2 linked regions of the Lepisosteus oculatus genome follow. The protein of the gene in region 1 interacts with the protein of each later gene in a biochemical or structural test. Links are inferred from orthologs where the notes say so. Each region holds a gene or a part of one and is shown in the gene's direction. Other genes may lie near its edges. The genes, in order: eea1 and rab5c.

Region 1 (10,250 bases):
TTTAAAGTAACACAGAGACATGTCATCCTCTAATGGGAAAAGCACGCCTTTGACAGATGACAGTGGTGGTCAGAATTCTTGATTTCTTGCCAGAAAGCTTCACATGCACTCTTGGTGAAGTAATATACTGTCGAGCTGTGAACTCCTCTTAGCTAAACATACATTTGAACAGATGTGTTTACCAGGGTTAGAAGCTGCCTCTCAACCAAACAGCAATTGATTTCTACAATTCGTCAAATTTGTGCAAGTGGGGGGTTGGCTAAAAAAGATGTAAAAACTTTCATACTTAGGGCATCACAGCAAATTATAATTGCATTCTGCGGGCTGTAGTTTTTAAAAAGAAAGGTAAGACTTTTAATCAGAGCCTCTGCTAGTGTTTTCTGCTATATTCTGCTTAATAACTTGAATATCTTAAGCTTATTATTAGCTTAATAATAAGCTTTGATTGCCTTTAATATAGCTTAGTTAGAATGGGAATAATGCTAGATTACCATTTAACAATTAATTCAACATTGATAAGTCTTGAAAAAAAGTCCCCGCAATTGTAGGTTAACTATAACCATAGGCTACCATGGGAATCAAAACTCTAAGAAAATAATAAACTGAGCTGTAAAACATTCACTCATGCACTCTGTAGCAAAAAAGGGGAAATATTGCAGACATGCCTTAATGAACGGTATAGGCAGGTCCTAATTATGGAACTTCAGTGAAAAATAAAAGACACACATTAACCAGACTTTCTGCATTGTATTCCAGTACTATGAATCTTTGGTTGTAAGAGTAAATTGTGCGATAAACTGATGATCACCAGTCTGATTCTCACGGCTTGAAGGGAAGTGCACTTCCTGGGAAAACAATGCATGTTTGAAATTCAGGGTAGAATTAGGAAATACAATCGGATTTAGGAAGAACAACAGAACTGGGCACTTCAGGAAAAGGAAGAAAGGATTTAGAAACATAATTTGCTCACAAACAAGAAGTTATTAAAACACTGCTCTCGATTCATAAAGAAAGGAATGCAAACTGAGATTTCACGCTGTCTCATAACCTAGAAAGTGAGTTATTCATCTGGGTAAGGTAATATAATAATAATAAACTTTCTTTTATTTTGCGCCTTTAAAGATGGCTTCTCAAAGCGCTTAAGGTACTACAAATCAGAGCACTGAGCAATTGTCCTTATGTAGTTCTAGGGTGGTTTTAGGTAGCAGGAGTCCTTTGCCTCTTTTAACCTGTTTTGTTACCTTTGATTTGTCTGTTTTATCTCTGTCCTTCTGACTGCATGAAAAGTAAACACCACTGCCCTTATGCAATGACTGCTTGTGGATGAATAGTAATTGATCATGAGGCTGTACCCTGAGTGTACATATGAACATTAGCTAATGGCCACCAATTGAGATATTGATCCTCACACACACCTTGGCACAACCCTTGGGTTGACACAGGATTGTCTCCACACCCTCCTTCACAGACACGATGGCAATCTATAACAGGAAAAGGTTCCTGACAATTTTTCCCTTAGCTCAGTCATCCAACAAGGTGATTATCAGGGAGTGTGTTATATTGCACTGTATTGAAGGATATGACTGGACTTATGTCTTTGTCCACATTACTGCTGTCACTGATGATGCATCCATATTGGTTGCTTGTAGCCAGGCCTCTGGATACACTGCTAGAGGGTCAATCAAGTGCCAAACTACTGGTATATTTTTAACAAGGTACCCACCCTTGATTTCTCCAGCTGTATATATACAGTATATTGTTACCAGCAGTGCTGAGGGAGTATAATCTGTGATGCATCAGCTTTCTATACAAGGTATTATACTTTTACCTTAATTACAGCACTACAGTGAACAGGAAAATGTCTGGCTCTCTGATTCCCTTAACTTGTAAAAGAATGTGAAAAGTTCCTGTTTTGACCCCCATAACACTAAGTATTGGTTCAGAGACACTAATTATTTTGCCGACACCGGAACATTGCAAACATTGGACTGTACGACATGATTTGATCAAATGTTAATTAGTGACCAGCACAGTGAGATACATTACTCTCTGGTGCACAAATTGTAATGGATTACACAACAATGGAGCATCTAAATTTGGTTACCTGAGAAAGGACATACAAGCATACATTTAGATAAGCAAAGCAGGTGTTTATTAATAGTGTAACATAGCATATAGTATTAGTTACTTTAAATATATTTCAGATGTGCTACTTTCATCATAATATGTTAAAGAAAGATTTATATAAAGTATGCAATTCAGTATTAAAAGCAATTACAAGCAATTATTAGTAGTATCTTGTAGCAATAACTAGTTGATCATAATACAGTTACTGTAAATACTTTACAGCCTTCCAATGTATTTCCTGTATTTTAAATTGTATTCTTATTATATGTTTATTGAAATAAATAGCTTTTAAAATGTTTCACATGGACACCTCCTATGTGATGCCTGGAGACGTACTAACATGCTTTAGTTATCTGGGATATTTTAATTGATTTTAGGTTTGTAATGTTTGGTGTGCTTTTGGAAAACCCAGCAGTTAAGCTAAACAACGCCCTGTATATCTTATCCAGTTAGATGATAGGTACAAGAATCATTTCAATAGAACATGTACTAAAACTCTTTGGCTTATGATTAAGCCGAATTACAAACAGTGGTTGGCCTTACTGCTCCCCAGTGCTGAGATCCTGTGTTCAGTTTCAGATTTGGGGTCCTATCTGCGGGGAGTTTGCATGTTTTCTCTGTGTTCATGTGGGTTTCCTCCAGCTCCTCCAGTTTCCTCCCACAGTCCAAAGACATACTGGGAGGTTAATTGACTTCTAGTGTGAGTGTGTGTGTGTCTTGTGTCTGTGTGTGCCCTGCAAAGGATTGGTGTTCCTAATAACTTCCTCCTAACTTCCAAATACATGTTGGTTAGGTAGTTGGCATTTCTCTAAAAACTCTCCCCCTGTGCTTGTGCTTGTTTGTGCCCTGTGACCCCCTACCAAGCGTCAGCAGCTGTGAATGGATAGATGGATGGGCCCCTCTAGTGGATCCTGATGGAACTGCTTCCTGCCGAAATACCCACCTTTGAAAATGACTTGTATGGCAGTACAGCGTGAAGCACTGGGGTATTTTTAGTGAATGATCAATAGCAAAAACACAAATAACATCATCTGTATACAGGAGTATCATATAACATTATTAATAGAAACGAGTATCATCAGCTTCTCTAAAGCCACCATTATCCGACTTCTGAGTCCCTAAGTTTAAAAAAAGTTATCCTTGTTTTGATTTCATGTTTGGTTGCTGGCAGCAACCAAAGACACCTAAAATTTGGGGCTGCTATAAGTCGATTCTTTCAGGCAATAAAATAAACAGAAATTTAGAAAGCAAGAATATGCAGAGATCAATATATAATTCAGGAACGTGTTGGTCCCTATTGATTTAATGGTAATGACACTGTTTAACAATCTCCATCTATTAATGAGATTTAATTTCATAACCCACAGCATGTGTGCATTCATGCTCTTTTCTTCAGAGTTTTTCTTTCTTTTATTTACAGTGGTTAAAATGTACACCTGGGCTCTCACCCAGCTGTTAATGTGATATAAGATCTCAGATTTCTTATTGGTTAAGCAAGGACTGCATCAGTTGTCTCCTACCAGGGGAATATTTATCATGGAAAGCACTCATTTGCCTGGTCCGGTCTGTTCTCCATCTTGACGCAGGCCAACAGGACATTTAAAAGGCTAGCTTCACAGAAGCAGCTTGGAAAACCAGATGTTTTTCATTTTGAACACAGAAAAACAGAGATCATTGTTCTGCTGTGATGTAAGAGTCCTGTTTGGGCAATTCCCAAAATGGCACATCTCGGGACAGACAAAGTTTCCACTTATCCTTGATTTCCACGGCCTAGGAATCATCCAATGATGATAGTTTTCTCACCGTGTGAAATGAAGAGCTGAATAAAGTATATTTGTGTTTTACAACAAAGAAGAAGTCATTTAGCACTGGGAAAGTGGGAGAAGAAAACATGAAAAGACAAGACACGAAAAAGAGTCTCATGACAAGTGATGCAATATAAGTCCATTTATAATAATAATGTTTTTATTCATAAAGTTGATTTATTTCCTTATGATGAACAGACACGGGTGGGAATAACACTGTGTCAAATCTTCCTACAATGAACAGGCCACCCTACTGAAATAAGGTGTGTTTCCAAAGAGACAATGGAAATCAATAAACCTGTCGTTAAGAACTTAAGATGGAACACTAAAAGATAGCAAAATTAGAGGGCTATGTTTGGAAAAAACTGACTTTAAAAAGCCAGACTAAGAATATTTTATTTTTTAATATCATATATAATATATAATGGAACAAGTAATAGGTTTATTCCATGCTGAAAAGAGAAGAGAGAAAACACAACGTTTCAGCTGTGAAGCCTTCTTCGGCTGACGCAGCTACCCACCTGAACTACTATAATATAAATTATCATATATAATATATATTGTATATATGATATAATATCATATTTTTAAAAGAAAAATATGCTTTGATTTAAAACAATGACTTTGATCCATTAAACAGCTTTCAGACAACCGCAGCGTGCCCAGGGTGGACCTTGCCTTGTGTGCTTTTGCTTGCCAGGATAGGCCAACCTTGTATTGGATAAAGCAGTTTGAAAATGGGTGTTTTGTATGGATGGGCAATAATACTGTGCTTAAACTGTGGTTTCTACCATTCTTTTGCCAATGGTTTCCTATCCTATCCATCGAGGGGGATCCCCATTACCTGTAAAGCGCTTTGAGTGGAGTGTCCAGAAAAGTGCTATACAAGTGTAAGCAATTATTAATTATTATTATTATTATTATTATTATTATTATTATGCTATTAACATGTCTTTACTGTGCTTGCACTTGCATTACACCACAGTAATTCCTTGATGTGGAACAACAGAAGTTACAAAACAACTGTACAGTTTATGATGGTACTGTAGCATGCACCGTATTTCACTCCTCCTGTACAGGAATGCACGAGACAAAACAGCCAGACGAGACGTCCGGATCAGTTGGTGGCTAACAACCAAAAGGGCAGGATGAGTTGGAGGGCCTCTTTTTCTTTGTTCTTAAGACGCAACAATTGTGAAGTAACCCCGCAGTAAAAGTACAAAAATAGTATAGTAAAGTCACCACCAACTCTCATAAAGGTTAATGATAGTACAAATGACTAGTGCAAATTGCAGCAGATCTTGGCAGCATATCACTCCTACACTTACGTTTCTACATTGGTTGCCTGTTAGGTCACATATTCAATATAAGATCTTGTTACTGATTTGTAAGGCTCTGAATAATCTGGCTCCATGACAATTTCTGAATTCCTTCACGTATCATGTATACACTCCCACCCGTTGAGGCTGGTCCTCTGCTCATTGTACCTGGAATTGAAACTGTGGGGCTGTTGGTGGCCGTGCCTTTTCTGTCACCCCACTGTTATGGATCTCCCTTCCACCTCTTCTTCGAGAGGCAAATTCTTTGACTCTCTTCACATCTAAACTAAAAACTCACCTTTTGACAAGGGCCTGTGTCTGATTGCCCTACATTCTATACCACATGCTTTTGTTTCATTTTTTTTTCTTTTACTCTTTTTGTGCTTTTTCTTTATCACTATATACAGCGTCCTTGGGGTAAAGAACTTCCTTTCTCTACTCTGTTCTTTTTAATTGAGTAGTTTTCACTTATTTCCTTTTGCCATATTTAAGATGGTCATGCCATTATATTACAATACCGTTCTGGTAATAAGAGGCCTTGTGATTCATTTCCTTAGATACACCACTGATTGGAAACATAATCTTAATGGCATAAAAACATGAGTATTCTTACAATTCTTTATTTCACTCTCTTATAATCAGATTTTATAATTAATCCTCCTTTAACCCACAGCACAACCAAAGCAGAAACGGGCAATTAAAAATTTTATAAAGGGCTGCTTCTTTTCTGACTGATTTTTTTTTTATTTTTTCAAAAAAAAATACATGACATTACCATCCCGTGAACCATTCCACTCACTTCCCGTATTCCTTTCACAGAGCAGTCTAGAAAGAAGGCCCGCCTCTCTCGGCTCCGGGCTTACCAATGAAAATGCAGGACGGCCTGCCAATCATTCCGTGTTCTTCCCTTCTCCGTTCTGTTCAACCGAGCGACGCCCCGCCCCCTTTGCACATGAGCCCCACCCCCCTCCCCGTAGCACCGCCCCCACCCTTGTGCTCCGAATTGCAGGGCTGTCAGCAAGCGGGCTTGGTCAGGTGCTTCTGGGAAACGTAATAAGGAATAAAGTTTTTCGTTTCGTTTTAGGTTTTATTTTCGGAAACAAAAGGGGCACCGGTCTGCACCATGTTCAGACGAATACTGCAGCGGGTAAGCTCGGCGCTGGCGGAACTGCGGGCGTGCTGGTGCGGTGCGTCTTGTTTTCTCTGTGATTGAATTAGCTGTCCATGCCCTGCAAAAGCAAGGCCTGTCCTTCCTCTCTCTCTCTATGTGTGTGTGTAGGCCGTGCGAGTAGGCCTCCTGTTTGTCAGTGGACTGCCGCTGATTAATGTATCAAACGACAACGATCACTTGTAGCTTTTGGCGTTTGATGTCGAATTCAGCCCTTCAGTCGAAGCTGCGGGGAGCGGCGCCCAGGCTGCTGTTTGCAGCGGTACAGACCCTGGACCTATAGTGTCAGGCTTGGCTGATCCGGACTATTGAATTGGACTCGCACAGAAATCACCAAGTTAGTGTGGGCGTTCCGCTTTATTCGCATGGCGTGCCGTGCGATTGGCTGTGCCGACGATGTCTCCTTTTTTTTTAGTTCTGATTTCCTTCTGATTTCGACGTATAAAAGTGTACGTCTGAAGCGAGCTCCCGGTGCTTTATTTTATCAGCCGTGTGCACGGGCTGTGCCCTCCAGTCATGGGTACTGTCATTTATTTTAACTGGACTGAGCAGCCTTCGCTCCTGGAAGCGGTTTTAATGCATTACATTGTGAAGCGTTTAGGTCATCAGTTGCACACATCCATTCTACTGTTTTTTTTTCTTTCGGTACGCTTAGTATTTTTAATGATGAAATACAGTTATTGTCCGGAAAAAAAAACTTGGCATTCGTATCATTTTTACAGCACTGTTGATGATGTTGTAGTGATGGCTTGGTACCATCATGTCAGACTCTTTTGTATTTGTACACAAGCGAAGCCTTGTATTCAAACCAAACGCTCGTCAGAAATGGTGATCTTACCGATTGTAAAGCAATTGCTAGAGATGTGTTGAAATAATTAGACTACTGAATCTCTGAGTTAGTCCTGCCCTACCTGGGCGAAAATAAAACTCGAGATGCCAATCACAGATGTGCCTGAGTCTGCTCCATTTTGTGCCTGGTGTTGTATTTGCTGCACTGTTATCGCTATGTGAAGGTGGCCAGTTTTAATTTGGCAGGACCTTGCATCTCAACCTAGGCTTCCAGTACGAGCCAGAAGGATGACGTCTAATGATCTATCGACGTGCAACGAAGAGTTGTGAAGTTAAACGTCCTTCTTGTTACGTTTCACAGCGTAATGTCAAAATGCAACCCTTACGTGGCCATGACCAGGAATCCATGATCGTGATGGTAGCCTTTATTACACTTGGATTGCAGGAGTGGCAAAATGATCCAATTAAGCTTTCCTCTCCACTTATCTTACTTTTCAGCATGGAATTAAACTCCGCTTGTTCTAGTCATGCCATGCCCCCATTAACTGATATAGTGTATGTCCACAGTGGAATGTGCTAAGTTATAGTGGCATGTCGAGTAGTATAAGAATACTATAATGACACCATTAGTAGATTATACCCCTCTTCATTTAAAAAAACACCCTGGGACCACAGAGAGTCACGACCTCACCTTTATGTCTCATCTGAAGTTGGGTCCTTTTTTTTTTTATTTTTTTTATACAGTATAGTGTCACCGTCACTATACTGGGGCATTAGGACCCACACAGACCACAGGGTGAGCGCCCCCTGCTGGTCCTACTATTGCCTCTTCCAGCAGCAACCTTAGTTTCTCCCAGGAGGTCTCCCATCCAGGTACTGACCAGGCTCACACCTGCTGAGCTTCAGTGGGCTGCCAGTTGTGAGTTGCCGGGTGATATAGCTGCTAGCATATCATTTTATTACCATTAAATTTTACACCCTTTCACACTTATTAGGTCACTCCTCGGAGGACTGAAATGTAGGGCAGTATTTTTTTTTTGTTTTCCCTACCTTTGACTCTTAAGATTTAAGGCAGCACGTTATCTACATACCAGTGACTGAAAAGCTGGGCTAAATTGGTGGACAGTAGTTTATTAGCAATTTGAGTGTGACTTAAACACCTAAATGCTGAATGGTAGTCATGTGTTGGAAAGAAGTGACAGCAACTGTACAGAAGCCTAAATAAGACTGGAATTTCATACCCGTCATACCCCTGTATCGTTGTTTGTACTATGCAGTACTCAAAATCTGTCATTAACATGTTTTCCCAGGTTTCAAGGTTAACTGTGATGTATTTGATGCATGACTATCACTTAAAACAGATGTCAGTCTTTTCATCATAAGATCTTTTAAGACCCAGATAAGATGATGGGTATCTGCTTAGATGTTTTTATCTGGGGATTCAAACCATCCCCAATAATAAACTGCATTCTGCCAGCTTGAATGAACGTACATCTGTTCCTGCTTCATGCATTTTAAACACATGTTTAAAATGAGTCACATGGCAGGCTAAATATATTTTACTGTTGCATTATTGCATAGGTCTGCTGTCTAACAATGTATGGAAGTGTCAAAGACATTTTACATGGCGAGCAGCCTTCTGAGTGGACAATATGTTTTGCAGCTTCAACGATCTAAGTAATCTAATGATGGTGGTGAGCAAAGCTTAGCTATGTTTGCATTTCTCACAAAGATCTGAACTATTCAGAACGTTTAGAACAAAGCATATTGATTTGCATTGTTTGCCTAGCTATCTGTGGGTTAATAGCAGCTTCACACAAGGTGAGACTCAGGTGATCAAATTTTGTTTCTGATGATTGACTCTAATTATCTACGTTATAAGTAAGAATGCCCATTCAAGAGGGACTAGGGAGGTCTTGAGCTGTCCTCCAGAGGTAGAGACCACAATATAAACACGGGGAAGACAGGACACAGGGTAGGCGCAGTCCAGGGGAAAACAAAGAAAGAGAAGATCATTTTTCTTTATCCTCCCTTTCTTCCTCCAGGCTTGAGTCATGCACGAGGACCTTGTTCTGATCCCTCTTGGAGACCAGATTCTGGCTATGTAATCTGAACATTATTATAGAGAGCCTGCCGTCATGTTTATTTTAGGAAATTACGATTTCCTGCGTTGTGGAATCCTTGGACTTGCGACATACTCCCCTAGTTTGGTGATGCGTTTCTGGAATAGGAAAATTAATTTCTGTTTTCCTTTGGGACTCAGTGTTACAGGAAGGCAGATTTAGTTCTGACACAGAAACATTTTCCTTAGGTTTCTCAGGTTGTTTCTCTGTCTGTCCTGTTTAAGATACTGTGGTTGTACTTACTGTGGTAATACTGTAGATTACAAGAACCGAATTTGGGGTTTCTTAGCCTACAGGAAGCGCGACTCAGGAATATACAGATTGTACACATTTGTATAGTTTTGTAAATTGTCGTTTAGTTGTGTTATTTTATTGTTAATGTCTGTCCTGTCAAGTCTGAACCTGATTTATTACTTTGTCACCAGAGCTGTGTCTTGAGTCGCTTTGTTAAGGCTCGGTATTATCCTCTGTGTGTACAGGTAATTAATCGGGTTTACTATAAATTGTGGAAGCCGTACACATAAATTAGATTATGACTTTCTCTGTGACCCACTCACCTGTCAAATGTGGTAAAATGCATGTTTATGTATTCACACTGTTGATAAATTAACCACTCGTATAGCAGGCGGGAATCCCTACACTTTTCAAGAAACATCCTGGGGTTTTTAATGACCACAGAGAGTATGGACCTCGGTTTTACATCTCATCTGAAGGACGTCACTTGTTACAGTATAGTGTCCCCATCACTATACTGGGGCCACAGATTGCAGGGTGAGCACCCCCTACTGGCTCCTCTTAATACCTCTTCCAGTAGCAACCTTAGTTTTTCCAAGGAGGTCTCCCATCCAGGTACTGGCCAGGCTCATACCTGCTGAGCTCCAGTGGGCTGCCAATTGTGGGCTGCAGGGTGATAGGGCTG
Region 2 (9,685 bases), on another chromosome or scaffold:
CGCTATGCAGGATCATCGTTCTGGTTCGTCTACAATTATTTAGTTCTTTCAGTCTGGATGATGTGTTGTCATGATGTCTTTCATCCTATTATGTGTAGAGCAGTGGGAGAGAAAGCTTTCTAAATGACCATGTGAGCAGGGTGCTGGGGTGTAGGATGTCGCAGTGCAGTTCAGTGCGCTGCAGAAGTAAGTTAGTTGGCTGGCCGTCGAGAGAGCAGAACAAACTCAATTGTCTGCTCTGAAATGGTTATTTTCAAGGGCTTTTTATAATCCAAATACAGCTCCACTGAACCTTTTCTGTTGGCATAAATGCCACGTCTAAGACATAACCTACTGTACATTTAAACACAACAGAAAGCAAGAGGCTATACTATGATATAGGAAGGTTTTAAACCCCCACCCAGAATGCTTATTCTGATGCCCAGATGTCCAAGAACGTCAAACCCTTTCAGTCTGCTAAACTTGTCACTGCGTGATTCAGACAACAGGTATACTGCCTTTATAACATAAGGAAACTATGCCTAAATTAATTCTGCAAGGTGCATTAAAAGTAGCACCACAACGGCAGGCAGCTTCTGTACTACATTTCTAAAACCCTGCAGTTGCGTAAGATTTTTCTACCTTTTGCAGCAGCAGTTTATAAACTGAAGCATCCTGCTGCGCACGTCCCCTGGGGGCTGTGTTTTTAGCTGCAGATGACACAGATCATCCATTTCGGCCGATCTCGGCGAGAGAAAGGAGCAGCTGACACAGGGAGCTCTGCAGTCCCCCAGGGCAGGCATGCTCTGATTGGAAGTGGAGGAGCAGAGTGTGGGCAGGTGAGCGCTGTGCTTACACAATCACCTGCCTTTCTTTGGTTTCCTGCTGCTGTTGCAAAAATTTTTTGGGCACTGCAGGATCTCAGATGTTCTGTCTTATAAAATTATCTGGGTGCGATTTGTCTAAAGAGTTCAAATTAGTATGTGTAGTTAAGACTTGCAGATTGTGTTTTGTTACCTGACTGATAAATTACAGTACATGTCTTAGGTATACTTCATATACTAACAGAACTGTAGGGTTTGACGTTGGCTGCTAATTAGGATATAATTACAGTGACATGCTAAGATCTCTAAAGGAACAAACACTCCAGGCTGATTTGTCTTCTGATTTTGCTCAGGTACAGTGCATCCTTTAGAACCTCACCTACCAACAGTAAAGGGGATCAGTGAGAAGGAGGTCAGCTTGGACGATCTCTGCCTGTCCCACCCTCCCTTACATGCACCTCAGCTCCAAAAGTCTCATCATTTCCCCCTGAACTCCTGCAATGGAGGAGACACCACTCTAAAATGCTGTGTGCTGTGCATTGTGGTGTGTTTTGCTTTCCTTAGATGGATGTTGAGCAGAGTCTTGAGGGAGTCCATGTGGCTAATGAAGCTCAGCCTTCCAGCGAAGTGTCGGCCCCCCGCCCCTGTTCCCACCCCCTGCGCCGCACCAGTCTGACATGGCCAATTAGCCAACAAGGGAGCACCTGAGCACATGACGACACCACCACACTCACAGGCACAGGCTTCCCTCTGGGGACCTCGCTGCCACAGCACAGACTTGCACGTAGCATGACCTCGCCACAGCACAGACCAATGGGACTGAGCTTGCGAATAACCGGAAGAGCCAGAAAAGAAGAGCTGGAGTAAGTGAGGTCTCGGTAGACCAGAGATTTAGGGAGGCCTCCCCAGTGGCTCAGCTCTTAAAGGCACTCACCAGAATCACAGGTTGAACTCTCTGATCATGCGTTTAAGCCTGGGTCATGTCACTGGCGTATTACTGACTGAGCACCACCAAGAGTAGGGTGGGTATAGTTGGCCAGGGCTCTCAGCATCACAGCGCCCCCTGCAGGCTACTGGCCACTTGCAGGCCTGCAATGCTTTAGATGAGGGACATCTCTGGCCTGCAATAAAACCATGGGACCTGGTCTGTCTGGTATGATACCTTATGAAGCACCAAAAAAAACCCCACATAAACTGAAGCAGTTTTGTATTCAATCTCTCCCACATCTCATCCCGAGAGGCGGAAGAGAAGATCATACCTCAAAACATTTGAGAAGCCCAATTCTGCAGTAATGGTAAAAAATGTTTTTTGTTACACAGCAAATTACCAATGCATGGAACAGATTAGACAAACCAGGTTGTGGAGGTGGATATGCAGGGATCTTTGAAAATTTATCTTAATGTGGCAGTTGAATAACACACTGTACAGGCAAATGATAAGCGCTGGTGTGTTGAGCTCACTGTTCTGCTCCAGGTTTGCTTACACCCATCTTAAAGTTTTTTTGGGGCTATGCTGGACTACAACAACACTATGACTTGCGATAATACACATTCACACGCAGTGACCACCTTGGGTGAATCATAGCTGTGTTGCAGTATTTGTAATGAATTTATGTTTTGTCGTAAAACAAATAAAGAAAAACAGAGGTAAGTGTACAGGTTGCAGAATTACCAAGCAAACCTGTCTTGGTTGTATCACACTGTTGTGCGTGCTAATTCTCAAAAGTGAGATGAGTGGAGATTTGTGTTACATAGAACTCTCCATATGCTACAAGCTGCATAGAAACAAATCAACAGGAATAATTGCTGGGATGCAGTTGTCTATGATCAATTCTTAAAATCATTACAACGACGTGGAAAGAGTTTTTCATTTTAAAGGAAAAAGGAGCTGCTTTCTGAGATTCTGCGGACAGAATTTGCATGCTTGAGGTGAACAGGACACTCGGTTGGCATGTGCTTACTGGCTAAAGCCCAGATTACAAAAGAACATAATGTTGTATTACCAGGTGTGTAGTAAATCGTGGAGCAGGTTAGCTTTCTCTTGCACACACTGGCTGTGATAAATGGGCTGCTCAACACCATCCGGCATATCCTGGAGCTGCCCCTAATGATTCCCTGGCTGACAATCTGTACAGAACATGAGGCACAGTCCCTAGGTGAACACTGCCCTCTAATGCACCACTGCCACATAACTCAGGCCTCAGCCGAGACCAAAGCCTTTCTGCCCCATTCTGATGAATGCATTAACTGCCTGTAAAGGATTTAAACACACATGCTATATTTTTTAATGCAGGTATAGAATTTCTTTGCTGATGTATCATGGTGGGCCTGGCTCATGGTATTTGTTTTAATTTTTCGCTGTTTAATTTTTTCCAGTATGAAGGCCAGGCAGAATCCATACTTGTCTTTGTCCAGCTACACACACAATAACATTGTAATCTTCCTCACCCGCATGGCCCTTCACACCCCTAGCTGGGAGGGCAGGCAGTGTCATGTTTGCTACCTTTTCATCCCCAGAAACCCTCTGAAAATGTCCCTGATCGTACAGACTCATGCAGCATTTACATGTGGTCTAATACTCCTCAGATCAAGAGGGGTCAGCGACCTTGGTTCTTGAAAAACCATAGTCCTGCAGGACTAACAAGCTTCTGCAGAATTAGTGCAGAATTGAAACACTTTAACTGGTACTAATTTGGCACTTTAACTGGTACTAATTGCTCAACTGTTGACACACAATACTATCTTTGTTAAATTCATTTTCTCTTCCCAGTTTCTTCCTATCGTTCAGCTTTAGTAAAAATGTACAAAAACGGTTTTTAAACCGACAAAAACCGACTGAGGTTAGTAATGGGAGCACGCCATCTGCTGTTCAATAAGGGGAACACAGCCTTGCAGAGACCTGCTGTGGTGTTACGAAGCCGGGACATATTAACCGTTGATCAGATAAAATGTATTGTCCCCTAGGGGTGACTTTTTGGGGACACGCAGTGCTTACGTCTGAATTCATCACAAAACATTACACATCACGTCGATTTACATCTAACATTACACAAACTATTACAGCATAGTCATGACATATTGTAAATACTAAAGTCTGTTACAGCCTAATCGGTTTATACTCACTGTCTAATAGATAAGGGAAAAAATGAATATTTGTATCTATTCGATCTGCATTTGCCAGAGGGAAGAAGCTGATATTCAGAATTAAGAATGTGAAAAAGATCCAATTTATTTATTTTTTAATCCACCTGTTTATGGGTGGAGCGGTGGCTCTGTGGTTAAGGATCTGCGCCTCTGGCTGGAAGGTTGCCAGTTCAAATCCTGTGGCCGGCAGAGGAATCCCACTCCGTTGGGCCCCTGAGCAAGGCCCTTAACCCCAGCTGCTCCGGGGGCGCTGTATAAATGAGCTTCTCTCTCTGTCTGTGTATCTGTGTGTCTCGTGGAGAGCAAGCTGGGGTCTGCGAAAAGACAAATTCCTAATGCAAGAAATCGTACGTGGCTAATAAAGTGATCTTATCTTAATCCTTTTAAAAAAAAATACTGCAAGGAGGAGGGCTGCCTCACTCCCGAAACTCTCACTGAACACTGGTGGTGGTGGAGGGGATCCCCATTACGTGTAAAGAGCTCTGAGTGGAGTGCCCAGAAAAGCGCTATATAAGTGTAAGCAATTATTATTATTATGACATGTTTTATGTGAAAGTATTTGCCAACACTGAGATCTTCTACAGTATCATTATTCGGGAGTCTGGCAAGAAGCCATACCATGACAAGCCTGCTCCAGCCTCACAACTTAAGGATTTACTGAAACCAACACAGTCTTAAAATTCGTCTTTTTTTTGACGAGCCCAGTCCTGTTTCAAAATTGTAACATTCTGAAATCCCAGAATTTCATTAGATTCATGTTACGTTTTGCAACTGACATCTTTAATTAGACCTAAAAACAGAGTTTCACAGAGGTACCAAAGAGGTACTTTTAAGTGACTCTGAAAAAGACCACCAACATCAAAAAGGCTCTTGGTCTACTGGCCTGCCAGTTCCACTTTTGACGTTTTATCACAGAAGTATTGTGATAGTAAAAATTCCCATTTTACCTCGCCGGCGGTTGTAGTACCACCTTGTGGTCTGGCTTTGTCAGATCTTGGAGTTGAAGCAGAGAAAGGAAACCCAGGCTCCTGCCGGGGCAGGTGTCGTTCGCGGACCAGTAGGTGGAGCTCTTCCCTCTGGACCGGAATTTAAAGAAACAAGCATCCCTACAGGGGGTGATTTTTTCCTTAGAAAACGCAATACACTAAGGTTTGGAGGAGTAATTCAACTTAGGCCTGATTATTGCATCAATATAGATCCCACAGGTGGTTTTCGGGAGTGTAAAGACATCAAAGCCACTGCCTCCGTTAAAATTGCACTCTTATCTTGAGCAGGCCTGCTTGATGTTGTTTCTTAATTCAATTACTGCAGCATTTTCTCACTCCCCCACCTGATCTGCTGCGCAGAGGGGCTGCCGCGCTTCACGTAGGTGGGAGCTGCTCTTCAACAATGAATAAAGTGAGCACCCTCCTACGTTAAGCGTTGTGCAACGCAGGAAATTATAAATGGGTAAATAATGATATAACGTCGACTTCAGCTTGACTGTAGACTTAAAAAGAGGTTATTTGTTAAATGGTTGTGTTGGAAAAGGTTGCTCGAAACCAGAAAAAGTTTAAAACGTCTTTGTCGCAATAAAAGCTTACGTCCACACCAAAACCGCCCTTTAAACCCTTCCGAACTACATTTCCCAGCGGCATCGCGCCAGAAATACGATGATGTAATCCCCGGTCCTAAGCCTGTTCTGGAACGCATACGCTCATTGGTCATTTTGTCTTTCAGTCCCACCCCCCCTCCCATCAGGAAGTAGGTGGATCCTGGAAGTGGGGATCGCAAGGCGGAAGTGAAGGCCGGAGCCTGTGATGAAGAATCGCAGAGCAGAGCTGCGAAATTGAAACAGAGAAGAAAATTCATAGCTTAAAAATTTATTCCGATAGAAGAACCGGAGTACGGAAAACCTAAGAGGGTCTTGCGCTCGGGTGCTGTCTAAAATCGTGAGTTACACCTTGTTGCGTCTCTTGCGTTTGCCGTTTCAAGCCGAGCTGTCCCCAGTATTCAGCTGCCCGTCCGGGCTCTGTTGCAGATTTATCCGCTGGTCTGTGATAAGGGGTTCCTGACTGTGTTGTGTCATAAAATATGCTTGAAGATGAATCGTTTTATTTTCTGTTTTCGTTTCACATGTCCGTTGCGCGGTGAGGCTGCTGTCTCCCTCTCGGCAGGCTGGTAGGTGTGAGTGGGTTGGGGGGGGGGTTGTCTTGTGAGATAATATCGCTAAATAACGTTCAGAGCTATTGCTAAACCCCATTGAAGACAGTTCTGGGGCCGAAATTTCTACTTCTTGTATTAGGGAGTTATCTACATACCGCTATTCTCACCTCTTAAAAAAAATGTGCCCGTGTTAAATCTGTACAGGGGCAAAATAATATCTAGAAAACGTATTAAACCCCTCGATTGTTCCTGACGTGTAATAGGAGTCATACGGTCATTGTACAGCCGCAGAGGTTAGTAGCTCATAGTTCCTCATTTAAAAACTAAAACCAAAATATTCTCCCGTGTTTCGCTCCGTACACGGTAGCAGGTACAATAACTACGCTTGCTGTCTTCAAATGTCTCAGAAGAGGTTTAAATTTAATTTTTAGGTGTTACCCCCCCAATGCTGCGAGTCTTTTTTTTTTCAGGCAGACAAGAACAAATTAATTAATAAACAGAAAGTGACCTTTTATTCCCTGGGAGTTGCTGGTTTCCCGTGGTCCCGGCATGTTGAGTGCGCACAAACAGCGATGTAAATCAATAACTCGGGATCATATGAGAAAGTTGCTGAACTTTTGCTTTATGATTCATTGGCTTACGAAACCTTTGCACGAGTTCTATTCCCAGAACCTGTTTCTTTTCTCGGCGCTTATAGCTGTATTGTCACTAGGAGACAGGGCCTCTTGCTACAAGTTTAGAAAATTTAAATTTGTCAGGTCGACAAGCCCTACAATGTGACTGGATCAATGCTTAAGTGCCATATTTCCAATAATATTTCCAAAGGACTGATTATTCCTGCTCTGCTTTCTTATAAGTGCTGTAATGAAGACCTTAAAAAGCACTGGGTGTAGAAGAGAGTTTGGAACACACATGCACAGCGAGCGTTTGTCCGAAACGAGAATTTCTAACACAGATTCAACCCAGCAGTGTTTTCTACAACAGTGACACAAGCCAGAAGCACAAGTGAAAACGACATGAAAGTGCATTTAAAACTGAGAACAGGAGGCATGTCTTTAACCAAAGTGTTGTGGGAGTGTGGAACAAGCTACCCAGACATGTTGTTGAAGTCTGTACCCTGGTTTCTTTCAAGAAATGACACCCTTGGATTAGTTACCCACTAGCTACTAATGCCCTCCTCTCATTTGAATCAGTGAATCTTTGTCTGCTATGGTGCCCTTTGTATGGTTTGCCAAAGGGAGCCTTTCAGAATTATACAGCAGCTGACGTTGTACTGCAGAAGCAGACCTCATGGGCAAAGAGGAAAGGGTTAAATAGATGCCCCTCCTCCCACTTTGTGATATTTATGGACCAGAAATTAGCTCATGGTGTATTCTGAAGAATCATGGACAATCTCGTTAATGTCAAGGGTGCAGATGAGGCTAGTTGCAATGATATGACAATGTAATGTTATCACATAACATTGTCAGCATCATTTGCCAGCAGTGATCACATCCTTACACAATATTTTACTGCTGCTTGACACCCACAAGCATGGTTAGTGTCCCCCCAGAATGTGCATGTGGTCTGTTCCTGTAAGAGCCTGCTTTCGTTCAGGTGTAGTTTAATGCTTTTGAACTGCTAGATCCATTCCAGCACAAGACATCGAGCAGCCAGCTCTTTCAGTGTAGAGTGGTCTGTTCCTCTTAGGAGCTGGTTTGCAATGAGCGGGTTCAGAGTGAGAAAGGTTTGGGCAGACTCCGTTATGTTCATGGTCTCTCTTCTCCTGGCTGCAGGCAAATCCCCACTCTAGCTGTTTTTTGAAAGTGTCTGTTGTTACAAGATGAAATGCCTTTTGTCAGGATGATCAGTGATTTGATCATTTCCCTACAGTTTGTGTTGTGGTCGAACGTTTTTAAATCAAGTGCAAAAGCAACCATTTCTGCCGTTCAAGAAGGCCAGTTTTCTTTCTGACATGACTCGCTGCATCATAGAATGTGACCTCAAGACCCTAAATAGAGACTCAGCTGATTCTGAAGCCTTTTAGAAAGATCTATGATAGTGCATAGAAAATAAGTGGCAACAAAGAGCTGATCAGTTGGACTGATCCATCCAGGTGTCAGTTGGAGTGGACTGTTGCATATGTTTTAATAGTTTATTTTGATCATTTCAACCTGATTTTTAATATAGATGTTTGTTGTTTTATACCACAGTGTGAATGTGGTTAAATGTAATCGGAAGTGACTGGGTGTGAAATAACCTGTTTCTCACAGTCCTACTGGGCTGTGTTGCTAATTGTCTCTGGCAAACGCAGACATGCCAAGCTGGATTAGGAAAACATCATGCTGCATCAGATCTGGGCATCTGAAACGGGTTCCAGGGCCCCTGTCCTTTTTATCTTTTCTACCAGCAGCACTTGAAATCATCCTGTATAATTCATTAATTCAGGAATTTCAGCAAAGAGTATGACTTTGGTAAATAAGGGAGATGCAAGGCTTAGGGATGATGAAGATGTTAAGAGCAAAGTAGAACTAGTCCAACTAAGCAATGCAGACGTTTTGCCCAGTGTGAAGTTATTTAATATGATTTAAAATGACGGGGGTTATGATCTCGAGGCTGCCTTCTGCATTAGGAAAAACATCAAGGCTCCTTGGCTTGTCCTTATATGCCACAACCTGAGAGCCAGCTTATCTCGACTGTGTGTCTAACAGTGTGACAGGCCCAAACCACTATATTTGGATCAACTGGTTGGCTGTCAGATCTGAAGGAATGGCTGAGGCTGTTGAGTCACTCGTGACGCAGAACAGAAGACTTCCTTTATGTGTAGCTAATATGTCGGTTTCTAAAGGAATTGGCGCAGATCTGCTTCTGAATTCCCCTGTGCAGGGCCTGACTCAGGTTTTAACTGGTGTAGAGATACCTCCTAGGAATTTGCTGCACTTGCAAGTACGTTGTAGAAACCGGATTTTTGACTTGTTGTGTGATTGCTGGGAAGCCTCCTGGATTTGGGAACTGAAGTCTTGACATTCATCAGATTATTCCATATTTGTGAGCTGTTTCCTTTTAACGTGCCTGTGAGGTTTTTTTTTCTAGTCTGGTGACGCATGAGCATTAAGTTTTGTTTAATGTAGACAAGAGCAGGGCTTTACATGCAGGTAGCTAAACCGTAAACTATAAATACAAAATTGGAAAGGCTAAATGTGAACAAGACTTGGATGTTTAAGACAAAGTGAGGATAAATAGTTAAAATTGCGGAGATTTTATATTAAAATGATATAACATGTCAGTAAGGCCTCATTTAGTATCTTATGTACAGTCTTGTTCACTGCAATACAGGTAAGAGGTTGCTGCTCTGGAATCAGTGGGATTCATTTCAAGGCCTAAGGGAATGCCCTATACTGACAGGCCAAAGGAACTGGATCTTTATTTTTAACAGAAAAGACTTCTACAGGCAACCTTATCAAAGTCTACCTAGTGCACTCCTTCAGGATGGACAGTGAAACATGAAACAAGTGGTAACTGTGTAGAAGTGTGTATACAACTGAACAGGAGGCACTTCTTTACGCAAAGGGTGGTGGGGGTCTGGAGCGCGCTACCCAGCTGTGTTGCTGAAG

Evidence for each region.
Region 2: the proteins of eea1 (region 1) and rab5c form a complex in vitro, tested with the Homo sapiens proteins (2 studies listed by BioGRID and IntAct, with this or other methods). The link is inferred for Lepisosteus oculatus from reciprocal best matches to the Homo sapiens genes EEA1 and RAB5C.

The regions. Positions count from the first base shown.
Region 1 is NC_090702.1:52,257,713-52,267,962, reverse strand, and holds the start of eea1 (early endosome antigen 1), read left to right. Parts: upstream 1-6,249; 5' UTR 6,250-6,374; coding exon 6,375-6,398; intron 6,399-10,250. UniProt on the Homo sapiens protein: Binds phospholipid vesicles containing phosphatidylinositol 3-phosphate and participates in endosomal trafficking.
Region 2 is NC_090723.1:5,230,445-5,240,129, forward strand, and holds the start of rab5c (ras-related protein Rab-5C), read left to right. Parts: upstream 1-5,697; 5' UTR 5,698-5,878; intron 5,879-9,685. UniProt on the Homo sapiens protein: The small GTPases Rab are key regulators of intracellular membrane trafficking, from the formation of transport vesicles to their fusion with membranes.